Linked DNA regions of Mytilus edulis. The protein of the gene in region 2 purifies or fractionates together with the protein of the main gene of each other region. This does not show direct contact. Links are inferred from orthologs where the notes say so. Each region holds a gene or a part of one and is shown on either strand. Other genes may lie near its edges.

Region 1 (7,496 bases), on a different chromosome or scaffold from region 2:
ATACAGCTATTATAAAAGTATTGAATTCAAGTGTGACGCTATTAAGAAAGCATTTGAAATAGTTTAAATACAACTAAAGACTAGTTTAAATGTATAAATCAGCATATTTCAACAGTAAAAACGTTATATAAAACTGAATACAATGAAATCAAATGAAATAAATCAACAACTGAAATTGCCATTATATAAGCCGCAGTGACCAAATTGCTGCACATCACATGCTTATACTGACAAGATGGTGATAAATATATCAAGTTTCATGTTCCTCCATCAAGCATTATTAAACTTTGTTAGAGAGTAACTTTGCGAATCTATCATAGAAATTACCATTGTATTGTATTTAGTTTTATATTATATTCAGTTTTAATGTCAATTGTCATCAAATGTATCATGTATTTCAATAAAAAAAATGATATAAATTTACTTATTTAGTCGACATGCTACTAAATTTCTTCATTTGTATGGCCTTAACCTTATTAGTTTCTGATTGACCTTATATCATGTGTTTATATACTGGCTTCAGAAAAGGTCATGAAGGTACTGGAACTTGACTTTCAAAAATAAATCATGTATTAAATGATCACAGATAAGAAAATTTCACTGCAACACCCAAAATAATCTAACTTGCAGTAGAATTTGTTAAAAAAAAAAACTATCAGATTTTCAAGGACCATGGTAGATAGATAGTTTGCTAATACATATCAACCCCTGCACTAATAATGCACTAGGAGTTATTATTTATCATGTTTTATACAAATATACTGGCTTCAGGAAAAGTTCAGACAAATGAAATATATGATGGAACTGTACATTTTAACCAAAATTATCTCTAAGACATGTAAGATAACAAACAAAAAAAATTCACTGCAACACCCAAAATAATCTCTCATTTATTAGAGTTTTGTTTTTAAATGCCCAATTTTTTAGGACTTTGGTAGATATTTTGATATTATCAACCCCTACACTACGAACTACATGTATTATTATAACAGTATTGATTAATAGGTTCTCCCTGTTGTATGTGGGTTAATTAGTTTCTTCATTAGTGATAAATAACCACAATACACAGTCGACTTTAGTTCAGAGCCATAACTGCAGCACCTGTATGTACTGTATGTAATTGATGCACATTATATACATGTACAAATATTTTGTGATAATTATAAGCATATTCATGAAATATATGTAGTAATAATTCTATGTAATGATTCTGAACTACCTTACAGTAAAGTGTATAGATGTAGAAATAAATAAATAATATAACTATGATAACAGATTTAAAAGTGTTAAAGTGATGATCAAATTATATTGCTAATAGATTTTTGTTTTGTCGGCTCATAAATGAAAGTGGAATGTAAAAGTTTCTCAAAACTACACCAATAAAAAATCATAGGCAGTTTCATGGTCCTCTAATTTAAAGACAAAGCAGCAACTACAATGTATCTATGGTTACTCTGCAAGCGGTTCAAACATTTTGGCAATTCTGTTTTCTTCAAATATTACCCTTTTCATATATATATTCCTCCATTTTTTCTTCTGTTTGTGATTTTTTATTAATTGTCTAATAAAAGTATAATCATCTTACCTTTGTCAGCATTATGTCCACCAGTTTGAGCTTCAATCATTTCTGTCTGAGTCTCTTTCTTTGTTTCTGTCAGCCATTCCATCATCTTTCTCGACAACTTCCGTGTTTTGGTTCACTTCTAACAACCACTTATAATAGAATGAAAGTTAATTTGGAAATTCTTCATTAGTTAGCACAAATCTTCATTTATAATCACAGAAGTAGAATAAATCCATGACCATCTATAGAATAATCAGAATTGGAAATGTAAAGTTTTTTATCACTGAATTTTGTATCCTAGCCCTCACTATTTTTGAATATCTTCATATAAATAAACACTGATCCTTGTTACATGTATTTGATGTATACCTTTTCGTGTGTATTAACGCTATGATTTCTGGTTTTAGTTGTGTTATAATGGAAAGCTGTCATGAATCCATCTAGTATGAAAGGTGTTCATAATTCCAAAGATAAAAATACAAATTGCAGGTGCTTTAATGATTGGTGCAAAGATGAAAGACTTTTGGAGTTGAGAAATTCAAAATGAATCTTAATAAATATTATAGGATATAATATAATAAAATGCAAGGAAAGTGTTAACTTCAGTCAAAACACAGTTAAATTCCCAGTTACAAACAACTTGATGAGTAAAAAGTTCTAATGTTGTAACAGTTTTTGTCATACATCAGTCTCAATGCTTAAGTTATTCATACTAGAAGGGTTGTTTACCTTGTTTGTGTGGTTTTCTTTCGATCTGTCACTATTCACATTAATAAAACTACTGCCTTCCTCCATTTCCATAATATTTTCTGAACCGCTAGAAGCAATTGAACTTTTCTTGCTATTTGAGTAGTTTGGACAACTTTGTACATGATGGTAGTTCGTTTTATCATCATTCTCTGCCTCTCTATGATAAAAGTAGTTGAAGTTTGAAACAATCACAGGCACGGGTAATGCAATTGTTAGTACACCAGCGATGGCACATAATGAACCTACAAGCTTTCCCCAAACTCCTATCGGTCGCATGTCACCGTAGCCGACGGTTGTCATAGTTACAACCGCCCACCAGAAGGCATCAGGTATACTATGGAAATGCGTACTTTCTGCATCTGCCTCTGCAAAATACACTGCACTAGAAAACAATATAACTCCAATGAAGAGGAAGAAAATGAGCAATCCCAATTCTCGCATACTGGCTCTTAAAGTCTGTCCTAATATTTGTAGTCCCTTTGAATGTCTTGATAATTTAAATATCCTAAACACTCGTACTAATCTTATCACTCTAAGGATAGCAAGAGACATGGCCTGGTTGTTCGATTTACCTTCATCGGCAATTACGGTACCTAGAGTGATAAAATATGGAATGATTGCCACAATATCTATAAGATTCATTACATTTTTAAAGAATCCTAATTTTCCAGGACAGGAAGCATATCTAACTAAAAGCTCAAAAGTGAACCAAATAATGCAGCAGGTTTCTATAATGAAAAAAGGTTCATTAAACTGAGGAATATCATCTTCCTCAATCGATGGTGTTGTGGAATTGCCAGTTTCACTAGTTTTGTTCAAATATCGATACTTTTTGAATTCTGGTAATGTTTCTAAGCAAAAGATCACAATTGACATTAAAATAACAACCACTGAGAATATTGCAATTAGCCTGGCTGAAGTTGAACTTTCTGGATATTCAAACAACAGCCAAACTCGTCTCTGGAATATATTTGTAGGTAATGGTTTTTCTTCTTCCTTGATAAATCCTTCATCCTCCCTATACTTTTGAATAGCATCATCTCCTAGTTCATAAAATTTAATTTCCTCTGAGAAAACATCTAATGGAACATTAACTGGCCTTCTTAAACGCCCACCACTTTGGTAATAATATAACACTGCATCAAAACTTGGTCGGTTCCGATCAAAAAAGTATTCATTTCTTAGTGGATCATAGTATCTATTTCGTTTCTGTGGATTCCCTAGTAATGTCTCTGGGAATTGGTTTAAAGTCCGTAATTGTGTTTCAAATCGTAGACCACTTACATTGATTACCACTCGTTCACTGCACTCATAGTCACTACCTGCCATATCACTGGGCCCCATACCATCGACATCATCGGTTGGCTTTGGATAAGACCTGGAATTGGGAAGAACATGATTTTGACGCTGGTAATTACAATTAGGCCCACCATTACCTTGTTCTAAGCTCATCATAGCCACCTCCATTTTGCATATAAATGTAAGCCCTACTTACAACATTTAGTTTTGTTCATGTCATCTTTTCATGAATAAATATATTCCAGTTATTAAAATCACAAATTAATTTTCCTATTTGTAAGCTGTTTAATCATTTCCATTGTGTGCTATAGAACAGTTGTTAAAGCAATTTTTAATTTCTTGACTCAATGCCAAAGCCTATTTTGTACAGTTCTAAACTAGTCTAAGTTGTCAAAAAGAAAACTGTGTTAAGATTGTGATCACCTTTGCAAATGTTATAATCATAAAATTCACTTTGACTGTAAATCATTGGCACTGATGTCAAAGCATAATTTCTTAAACACACTTTCTTAAAAGTACATGTTCTTTCCAAACTAAGATTATCGTCTGCATAAAACAATCTCAAGTCAATGTCACTTTTTCACTGTCCATTTTGCACTTTTTTCATAGTTTGTTGCATGTAATTAAGCGTTGCTGTTTTATAAACATGATGAGTAGGGTTCAATAAATTAACAAACCATTTCTCATGCAAAAATTTCACCCTGAATCGCTACAATTTACTGTTGATCTTACGTTGACATGAACCCATTGAGTATATGATAGAGAGTTGAGACTTTGATCGATTAACCAATCAGAAACCCGTTTACAAACAACTTTGGTTATCGACTAACAGGTGCTTTATGCAGTGAATATTAAATTACCATTAACAGTTTATTCTTCCTATGGCACAAAGCATATAAAGTCAATCAGCTTTGACATTCTAGAATACTACATATTTCTTCTCTTGATAAGAAAACTTACGTTAAAATATTAATTCACTGCGAGGATAATACTTCACCTTATTCCCTGTGGTACGTCATTTATCGGCACAGTACAAAGCAACGAAGAACAGACGTCTCAATCGAGTTATTTAGGGACGTGGTAAATTGCATGTGTTGGTCAGAGAAGACAAATTGGCGTTTTACATTTACCGCTGTGTATTTGAATGAGGGTCGATAGAGGCTGTTGAACATTTTAAAGACAAGTTACTGAGAGATACTTGAACAAAATGACTGCTTTCTTACCTCCAAACTTGCTGGCTCTTTTTGCTGCCAGGGATCCTGTCCCATACTTACCACCGGCGGACAAATTGGGTTTCGAAAAGAAGAGGTTAAGTTATGGTGGAGTTGCACAGTTTCTTAATGAGTTTGAGGTAAAATCTAAATATAATTAAGTACAATAGATAATGTTTTAAATAGATAAACAAACTTACAATGTTTCCAAAATGGCTGACACTAAAGTTGCCATTGTTTACTAATTCTGCTTTAGAAAGTATAAGATATGTCCAGTTTTGGTTCGTAACCCCAGTCCATCGTTAGCTCTTTGATAATTGTGTGTATTAAGAAGTCAATTCTTGTAGTTTCAATCACGATTTCCCCCAAAAAGCACAGTAATGACAATTGCAGATGAAGGCATTGTTAAGAAAATCATTCTTAAATAATTCCTTTTGATACCAAATGTAAATAAACACACATGTGCATCTTAAAGCCTTTCCATTGAATCTGAATCAATTGGTGGAGCTTAGGCAGTTCATTATGAATAATTCACACATCAATGTGTTAACATAATTTAATCCATGACACACATACAAGCGTCAAAGACTTACAAATCAAGTTACACATATGAAGCCAGATTCTGAAATGCAATTAAGCCATTCATGTCACCAATGGCAACTGAATTTTTCATATAATTCCAAAAATAGATAATTTCCTTAAAGATAATCCAAGTTTACTTTACATTACACAAATTGGAAAAAATCCTTTCAATCAATGAATTGGCCTCCATAACTTAAATCGAGAATAAGCTACACTAGTGTCACAAAATAGATGGAAATTGATTTCTGAAAAGCAGGATGATTTTAGATGTGTAATCCAATACTAGCGTTTACCTGTACTAAAGCTAGGTGTAATAAGCTAAATAGTTACACAGTGTACAGAAATCATAGGAAAGTGGATTCTGCGATAGAAATCCAGCTCTTACTTGTTTAGATACTAGGAGCAAATTGTAAACAATGATCAGTGGATAAAACAGTGTATTGATTGGGAAAGTGTAGAGGGTGATGTACAAACATCAGTTGTTAATTATCTAGATACACAAAACCACCTCTAATATATGACATAAGTAAACAAAGTTATAATGGAAACAGGCACCTATCCATCATTGTCCATTAATATTATATTTTTGGCCAGAGAAAGAAATTAGTACATTCATCTCTAGGTCTCAACTTCATTTATAGGTCTCAATTTCTTCTTTCTTTTTTTTTTTTTATATCTATGTTTTTTTTAATTAATCCTGATTTTTTGTTTACAAAATATCATATTTGAAAATTATGTATTATTTTATTAATTTGAATTGACAAATGATTTGGATATATATGTGGCTACTTATTGATGTTACTGATGCCCTATCTCAAATAACAAGCAAAATGTGACAAATGTTGAATATTGATTATATATTGACAATTAACTTTCTAGAAAGATACAACATATTGTTGAATGAGATTAGACTTGTGTATTACAATTTACATATGGCATTATTTTTTATAAAAAAAAGATTGGACTTGTATATTATATGGTACATGTATTATTTGTTAAAAAAAAAAGGATCGGATTTGTGTATTGTACATGTTAATGTATATGACCATTATGGTATTATCCCTAACAATATACACACATTAAATATTTTGTAGTTGTATTTAGTAAAAATAGAATTGGGGTAACAAAAATTCAGTGCTGCAACCCAACAACAAAAATGAACTAAAATAGCCATATTTAAATGGAGAGATCTGCACACAAGTCAAGTTAAAAAATTTGAAAGACTGTTTTAAATTTTGTGTTTAAAACAGAATTGAGTTACAGCCACGAAATTTTTGAATTTAGTTGTTAAAGCAAAATACAAAGGCCTTGGAATGTTTAGGTTTTAATTATTAAAGAAAAGTACAGAGTAAATTTTTTACTAATCACAGGTAATCTTGGTAGTATGAGAATATGTTCCAATTATGATGCCTTCTCTCCCCCCCCCCCCAAAAAAAAATCAAAAATATATCGAGTGTTTTTAACAAATTGTTATCAGGTTTAATCTGTAAAAATATAACATAAACTATCATACTTAGTTTTACATTATGTAATTGTACATATATTAAACTACATGTATCATATATTGAATTTCCTGTGACACATTTCCTTAGGTATAAAGTTACAATGTTAAGTCTCAGATGTTTATATATACATGTAAATAGACTTACTTGTTATTTTGTATTTTTTCCAGTAAAGGAACTGTTGTCTCATCCTTTGTGTCTGACCATTCATCCTTGTGACATTTATTCACTGGAACATTTTCTAAGTTGTTACTTGCAGGATCGCAGTTAATATATTGTAATGAGTCTTGATATGGTGGAGGATTTGAATCGGGAGAAGATATCGGTGGTGTTGTTATTTGTTCCTGTTGATTGTTTTGGTCTTTGTATTTGTCACTGTTTTTTTGCTGCATCTTGAATATGTTTGGAAGACATGCTGACTTAGTTTCCTCGCCTGTACCCTGACCGCCTTTCGACGAATCTGACACAGAGCATGACCTGCCACTATTTGGTGCCGATTTGCTTCGCCTTATTCTTTTGGCAGCCTGTTGTCTTTCTATCCTTTGAGATTCTACAGCATCTAGATCTTTAGGCTAAAGAAGAAAAGAA
Region 2 (7,365 bases):
GCTGGTATCTTAGAATTTCTAATTTAGACATTGTTATCGTATTAGTATGAACGACTTGTGAAAGTATAAACAAATTCAACTATATTCACTACTGCAGAAAATGCAATTTATATATCATTAATCGTGAGTAAAACTTTCAGTGAAAGTAAGACTATTTGTATAAATACTCGTGTAAGACTTGTGTAAGAAAATATTACTTTTCGAACTAGTTAATTGTTAAAATTACTTCTATAAATCTATTCCATTAATTATGATGTATTTCTTAATTGATTTAATTATTATAATTGTTTATTCCCTTCAGATTAAATAATAAGTACCAGCCTGTCTAATTAATATTGATTAAAGCATTGTAATACTAATTAGTTCAAGTTAGTGATAGTAATTTTTATTGAATATGAATATTTATTTTATTTCAGAAGCAAACATAATGCTATAGCATTAAAAAAATTTGAACAAATAATAATGACAGACACAATAATGACAGTAGACATGCAGAGAACATCACAATAAGGTCATAACAAGCACAGAACTACAACTGCTATGATGCCTTGCAATAATAATTTGTAATCTTAACTTACATGCTGCATTAAGAAATTACACATATTTTAATTCTTTGAGCTAGCCTAACATGTAAAAGAAATACAACGTAGCTTTTAATTCTTGTGATTCATATTTAGTATATTTACTCATTGTACCTATGTGTTGTAAAGCCGATTTAGTAAATAAATAGTTTACCATGAACCAGTATATTTATGGTAAAAACTATAGTTACCCTCAATGCTCTAAATGCATGGCATACTAAAACAAAATGGTACTCAGTTTCAATACAATTATTATGACAGCATATAAGATCATATAAAGTTGTGAAAAATTTTCTCATTTAAGGAAGGAGTTAATCTACAACTGTTTTATAAAAAAAACATTACTAATTCCACAAATATTGATTCTCAGTTTATGTGGTTGTTAAGTAATGAAGACACTGATGTATGTAAAAGTATAGCTGAGTACATAAACATGTGTTTTTTACTTAGAATATAAGTGTAAAATTTTTGTTTGCTGCTTATATTACACTAGAGTTACTCCCCTTGGAACACATATACCTTGATACTTGTGTAGTATTAGTTTTAGATGTTATTCTTTGTAAGTAAGTAAGTAAGTAATTTTTATTGGTTTTAAAATCCAAAATTACAGGATTGATACCAAGACAATACAAATTTGTTATACACAAACATACAAACATCTATATATCATACCAAATTCACAAACATTATATGAGGAGGTGGTACCACAAAGTTATTTAGTGCTTAATAAAGCATTTCTAGAAATGTACATGTCGCTTATAAATTTAACAATAATTCTAATTATATCAGTCTCAGCACACGTATACAAAAATTTAAATCTTTCTTCATTAGTCATACTTCTCCAGGTCACAGTGGCACCCATAACAACTATTTTTTGTCAATAACTTGGTTTATATCAGGTTAATTAGTGTAAATGTGTATTCATTCAAATGTACTTTAATCATTCTAATCATTTTCTGTGCTTTATTTTGTAATTCATTTGATTGTATAGCTCAAATTTTGGGCACCATGATTGGTTAATAAAATTATTTATCTATTTGAAAAAGAGGGAACTATTTCACTAATTTTGGAAAACAGTTGGTCTCTAATTATATTTAGTTTTGTACATTTTAAAGTGAAATGAAATTCATCTTCTACTTCTATGAGGCACAAAGGACAAATTCTTTCTTCTTTCTTCTTTTTTGTATCTATGCTATTAATGGTTATGTTCATAATTGAGCTTTCTTTAATAAAATATTTCGTATTTCGTATAAATATACAAAGTTCTATTACAATATTGTCAAAACGAGCCGTATGATCTTATATAATCAGTTTTAATGTTCCAATACGTAGTTTAGTGAGTAAATTGCTATTCAAAATTTTAGTTATCTCCTTAACAAAAATTATTTTTCAATTTTCTATATTTAACACAGTTTTCACAATCGTTCGAAATGCGACATTTTATATATCTAAATGTTGCGTTAATTTTCTCTAGGTCAATTCATACACAGGGAGGCTATAAATATCATATACAATATTAGGTTTATCATATATAATATATGCAACAAAAATTTTATAATTCTATGTTTCCTTAAAAATGAACATATTTTCAAGTAGATTACCAAGTTCACCACAAAATAAGGTGATAAGTAAATTTTTAGCAAGCTTTAACATAAAACGACAGAAACGATTATGAACGACTTCTAGGTCTTTGACTCGATGAAATCCCCAAATTTGAGACGCATATTTAAGTATAGAGGCCACCATAATGTTAAACAAACAAAAATGCTTGACTTCGGTCAATATAAACCCGCATAGAGAGTGTTGAATAAGGCAGAAAGTGCCTTTGTTCCTTGCTGATAAATCCTATTCTGTGAGTGCAAAAACTTTCAATTGAAATATAGCAATACGCCTAAATATGCATATGAATTTACAATTCAGTCTTGTTCATGGTTGTCAGAGAAAAAATGGTTAATTACAGGTTGCCAACCATTTCTGAAAACGACTATTTTTTGTCTTGTTAGAAATATTAGTTATTTTCCCCCATTTACATTAAAACAGTATTATTGTCCATTGGAATACTTTGAATAACGTCATTCACGAAAAAATTAAACAACAGATCAATGTGATAACGGTCACCTTGTTTCACTACCAAGAAATTGTCAAACCACCTCTGAAAATGCCCTCAGCCCCTCTAAACGAACATTCGGGCTTATAATATTCTTTAAAGTTGTACCTTCGAATTCTCCGGATAACTAAGTAATCGTTCAGTTAATATCGATGTAGACAATTTTGATAAAACACGTACTATAAGATGATCATCGGTCCGGAGATAATTATTCAGGTCTGTTAAGTCACAATTTTTTAACCGCTAAGCCTATTAATTTACAAAACCGTCCGACCACTTACCAGGATACAAGCCATACCAAAACATTAGGTTGAAGAGAGTTTAAAAAACAACAACTTGTATTATGTGAGGGGATGACCTTTATCGGGACTCCGGGATCGTGTGTTTTTAAGCTCAGAATTTCGGAATTGATCCTTTCGGGATCCGGGAATTCTTTTTTCGAATTTCGGGATTTCATGTTTTTAAGCCCGGGATTTCGGGATCAGGACCCCTCCGACCCCCTCCTTATATGTCTCTGGTACATATATCCATGTGAGACAAAAAAAATCCACAAGAGCTCTGCTCGAGGGATTTGAGCTCTTGTACTTTGGTATTATATTAGTTGAGGGTTGATACGTTGATACTTTTATTACAGGGCCGTAACTACATTGAGGCAAATGCCTCATGTAGGAAATTTCAAAACCAAACGCTTGTCTCCATATCAAATTGTGTTCACCGTGAGTGCCTTGCAAGAACGCGTCAAGTTCTGTTCTCCTTCAGACGTAGCCCTTGATTTTTCGGGATCAATGTTTCTTATCATTATTTGTCTTTTGTTCATTAATTGCCCTTCTGTATTCTGTTAGTTTTGCATTTATTTTGTAATTTAGTGATTTTCATGAGTTTAAAAAAAAACAGCTGCCACAGACTTAACTATGTGAATTACATTTTTGCTTTATCATGCATATTGGTATTTTGATGTTGTCCCTAGAAACTTCTTTGAGACCAACATATTGTCAAAAAATTACTAAAACAGAACTTGAATTTTCAGATTAAGAAAGGATCTGGGGAACACCCAGTCTGAGAAAGCATGATTCTTGGGCCTTCAGTAGTTCCAAAACCCCGCTTCAAATTTTTTTTTGCCTCACTCCGCTCGGCGAGACAGGTTTGCCAATACTTTTAAAAGACCTTAGTTTCAACCATACTTTAAATACTGTGTATGTATGCAGTTGGAAATAAAGAACCCAACGGTTCGTTTCTGCAGAGGAGGATGCCGGATTAATTCTGATAAATGGTACATGTATAATGACTTGACTTGAATAAAACAAATGTTTAAAAATTGTATGTTTTCAAATATCATAAATATAGTTGTGAAAATAAATAATCAGTTCCTTGCTTTAATCATGTTAATGTAAATGAAAAATCTTGCACAATAGTGCAGAAAATAGATAATCTGTCCAGTCTTAGTTTACAAACTAAAGAACCGATCCAAAACAAATCCTCCTGCCCACCCCCAACCCCCTCCCCAGGAATATCAAATGGTACGTCGCTTTATAAAACCCCAGCGAAATGCAGTGTTACAAGAGACTCGTATGTAACACCTAATACTGATCGATGGTTATTATGGTCCGAGGTTAAGTGTCGTAAATCGGAATCCAACCCGGCTTGATTTAGTTTTTATGATAAATAACAACCGGAAGTGCATTTCGAGGAAAGAAACTGGAAAAATGACAAATCAAATGAGACAGACACCTCTTACTTGTAGTGGCCATACAAGACCAGTCGTCTTCTTGGATTTTAGCGACATCACTCCATTTGGTTACTTTCTTATCAGTGCATGTAAAGGTATATATCATTAAGATTTATTGTAAAACATTGTGAAATATGTTATACGTATAATACGTTCGTACCAACAGGCACTTGTTTCTATCCATGGGAATACCCACTATCAACGTACATTTACGTACCACATGCACTTGTTTCTATCCATGGAAAGACCCACTATAAACGTACATTTAGTGGTTCTTCCAATGGATAGAAACAAGTGCCCGTACATGGCGTAGTCGTACATAACAGGATGTCAAGAAAGTCACTAAAAAGTTCCCTGGGGTTTTGTGGTCTAGTGGTAAAGACCTATTGCTAAAATTCTGAATTTCCTGGGTTCAATTCTGACTCTAAAGGGCTAGTAGGGGTGCCTAAAATATTAGAAGGATGATGATTTGTATTGGTATTGGGTCTGTTCACTGACTCTACACGTGTTTTCCCCCAGGTCCCATCCCTTATTGATTTGTGTCCGCCTTTACTGGTCAGCACACAGGTTCCTGTATAATTTTGACATCATAAATATCATCCGCGAGCAACAATAGGAACCTTTTTGGTGAGTGAGCACTGCGCAAGCGCAACACATTGTGTTAAGTGGCTGATATTTTGCAACATCTAAACGAAGAAAACCTGATTATCTGTTTATCGTTCTATTAATACTGGTCTTTTCCCACTTCTTCGTGTTCCTAAGACATTATTATGCTTGACAAAAGCAAGCTTGATAACATCTCCTCTTGCATTGTGAGGTCGCTGATAACTTCTCTCACATTGTGATGTCGCTGATAATGCCTAGTCTCGTTTTGAAGCCTTGATACAAGAATTACGAAGCGACAGAGCACGGTGATATAGGCGTTGGGAACATGGATCTGGAAATTTTTTCACCTAATTTCGGTCATTTTCATATAACTTAAAAGTTGGTGCCCCTTTTCAAAAAAAAAGATTGTCAAAATCTCATTACTGTATGAGTATGCTCATACTCATAGCATCAACAAACTTGTTTCACTGTCGCATCGCATTTACTTCATGATTTATTCTACCATTTTTCTAAAATCGATCAAGAGCAATTAAGGGAAGGCAACAGTTTAAAAATAAAATGATTTTAATGACTCAACACGATAATTTTCTCAGTAATCGCTTACATTTCTTTCTATTTTGAAGGTGAAAGTCGATCAAACCTGATGTAATTCGACAATACTAAAATGAACAATTCCGGACTAATTTCTGGGATTAGTTTTGTTTATCAAATTTACAGGAAATCATCAGATTTTTAATATTTTACCTTTAACAGTAAGAATATTAATGAAAAATTTGAAAATAGTTGCACTTGCTTTATTTAGCATGAAATCATTCTAAATTTACGATTCAGTGTCTAATCTGTTGAAGAGAATTTCAAGCATGCATATTACAAAGTAAACAAAGCATGTGTTTTAGTAGTGAAAAAACACTTTTTTCTACGTAAATTAATCAAGTTTTAATTTAATTTTAAATCATAATTGACAATTGTCTTAGCTGAAAAGTAATTAAATAATGAAGACAGTTGGTATGGAACTTTAATTTCTTTATAATATTAGTTGGGGGCTTGTGATTAATAGCCAGGTGTGAATTAAAAACACAGGTAAAGAGATTAGCAATCATTAGCCAATAGCTCTCTTAGGCATTAATATACATTGAAGTTATTAGAAGGGCCCCCAGGATTATAACACTTTACTGGAGTGGCAGAATATAATGTAATTACATAAAATCGATGACAAAACAAAAATATGTTCAATATGGTGATTTTGAAACTCGATCTCAATGAAATGACCGAAATTATTTCTGTTGAAAATAAAATTTGACCTAAATCCCAATTACACGTTTAGGACAAAATACATTCAGTTTCAGGACCTTTGGTAGGGAAGGACAATAATATTTAATATCTTTACAAGTTTGAAAGTAAACATGGTAAATACATGAATATTAATTGCAACTTGATAATATCTTAAGAAATTTTGTATCGTAATTCCCAATTCATTCCGTAGAACTTTTACAATCATGAAAAGTTATCATATTGATACATCTGGTCTTCCTGTTTCAATTCAGAATCGGAAGATAAGTGTTGCAAAGTCATTAAAAATCATTTGCCCTCCAAATCTTTTCTTCAGCGTTTTACAAAACAAGAGCGAAATTTCTGGTAGTTTATGATGCAAATCGTCGATACCATTTCTGACTTTAACAGTGGACATCTATATTGAAAAAATAAAATAAGCAGTATATCAGCCTGTTACTATTCCTTACATGAAAATAAAGGAATGAAATGTTTTCTATAACACCACGCCATAGACACGGGATTTTGACATGGTGAAAGTTCCTCCATCGTTCAATTTTCATCCATGGAGATCCCTGCTAACATACCTTTTATGTCTACACAGAGAACAATAGCTATTGAATTTATTCATTGGGACAATAGAACTGACAAAAGTTTAAAAAGATCGAACAATAGGATATGAATCTATGGAAAAGTTTCATTTGAATTTGTTGGCAATAACTGAAATAAAGAAATCCCTTATCTTCTAGGCCTTCTTTGCAACTTCATAATGATGTAATTATTTAGTAATACATGTAGTTTATTTTCTGTTCTACATTTTGTAGATGGGAAACCAATGTTACGCCAAGGGGACACTGGTGACTGGATTGGTACTTTCGAGGGCCACAAAGGTGCTGTTTGGGGAGCCACTTTAAACAAAGAGGCCACAAAGGCAGCAACAGGAGCTGCTGACTTTTCTGCGTAAGTTTTCAGCTATTTAGTCAGTTTGAACCAATTTAAAACATATAAGTCCATTTCATTATTTGTTTACACTATATTCTTATAAAGGACCTTCCCATCATGGTGTTTACCAAATA

The links. The genes of interacting proteins can lie anywhere in the genome.
Region 1: the proteins of serine-threonine kinase receptor-associated protein-like (region 2) and U1 small nuclear ribonucleoprotein 70 kDa-like purify together in Homo sapiens (affinity purification with mass spectrometry; 3 studies listed by BioGRID and IntAct, with this or other methods). This does not show direct contact. The link is inferred for Mytilus edulis from reciprocal best matches to the Homo sapiens genes STRAP and SNRNP70.

The regions. Positions count from the first base shown.
Region 1 is NC_092350.1:51,881,370-51,888,865, forward strand, and holds the start of U1 small nuclear ribonucleoprotein 70 kDa-like, read left to right. Parts: upstream 1-4,413; 5' UTR 4,414-4,820; coding exon 4,821-4,964; intron 4,965-7,055; coding exon of another isoform or gene 7,056-7,480; intron 7,481-7,496. Other genes in the region: potassium voltage-gated channel subfamily A member 1-like, read right to left, coding at 1,618-1,713, 2,294-3,692, 7,056-7,480. UniProt on the Homo sapiens protein: Component of the spliceosomal U1 snRNP, which is essential for recognition of the pre-mRNA 5' splice-site and the subsequent assembly of the spliceosome. SNRNP70 binds to the loop I region of U1-snRNA.
Region 2 is NC_092353.1:16,536,144-16,543,508, forward strand, and holds the start of serine-threonine kinase receptor-associated protein-like, read left to right. Parts: upstream 1-4,287; 5' UTR 4,288-4,343; coding exon 4,344-4,509; intron 4,510-7,113; coding exon 7,114-7,249; intron 7,250-7,365. UniProt on the Homo sapiens protein: The SMN complex catalyzes the assembly of small nuclear ribonucleoproteins (snRNPs), the building blocks of the spliceosome, and thereby plays an important role in the splicing of cellular pre-mRNAs.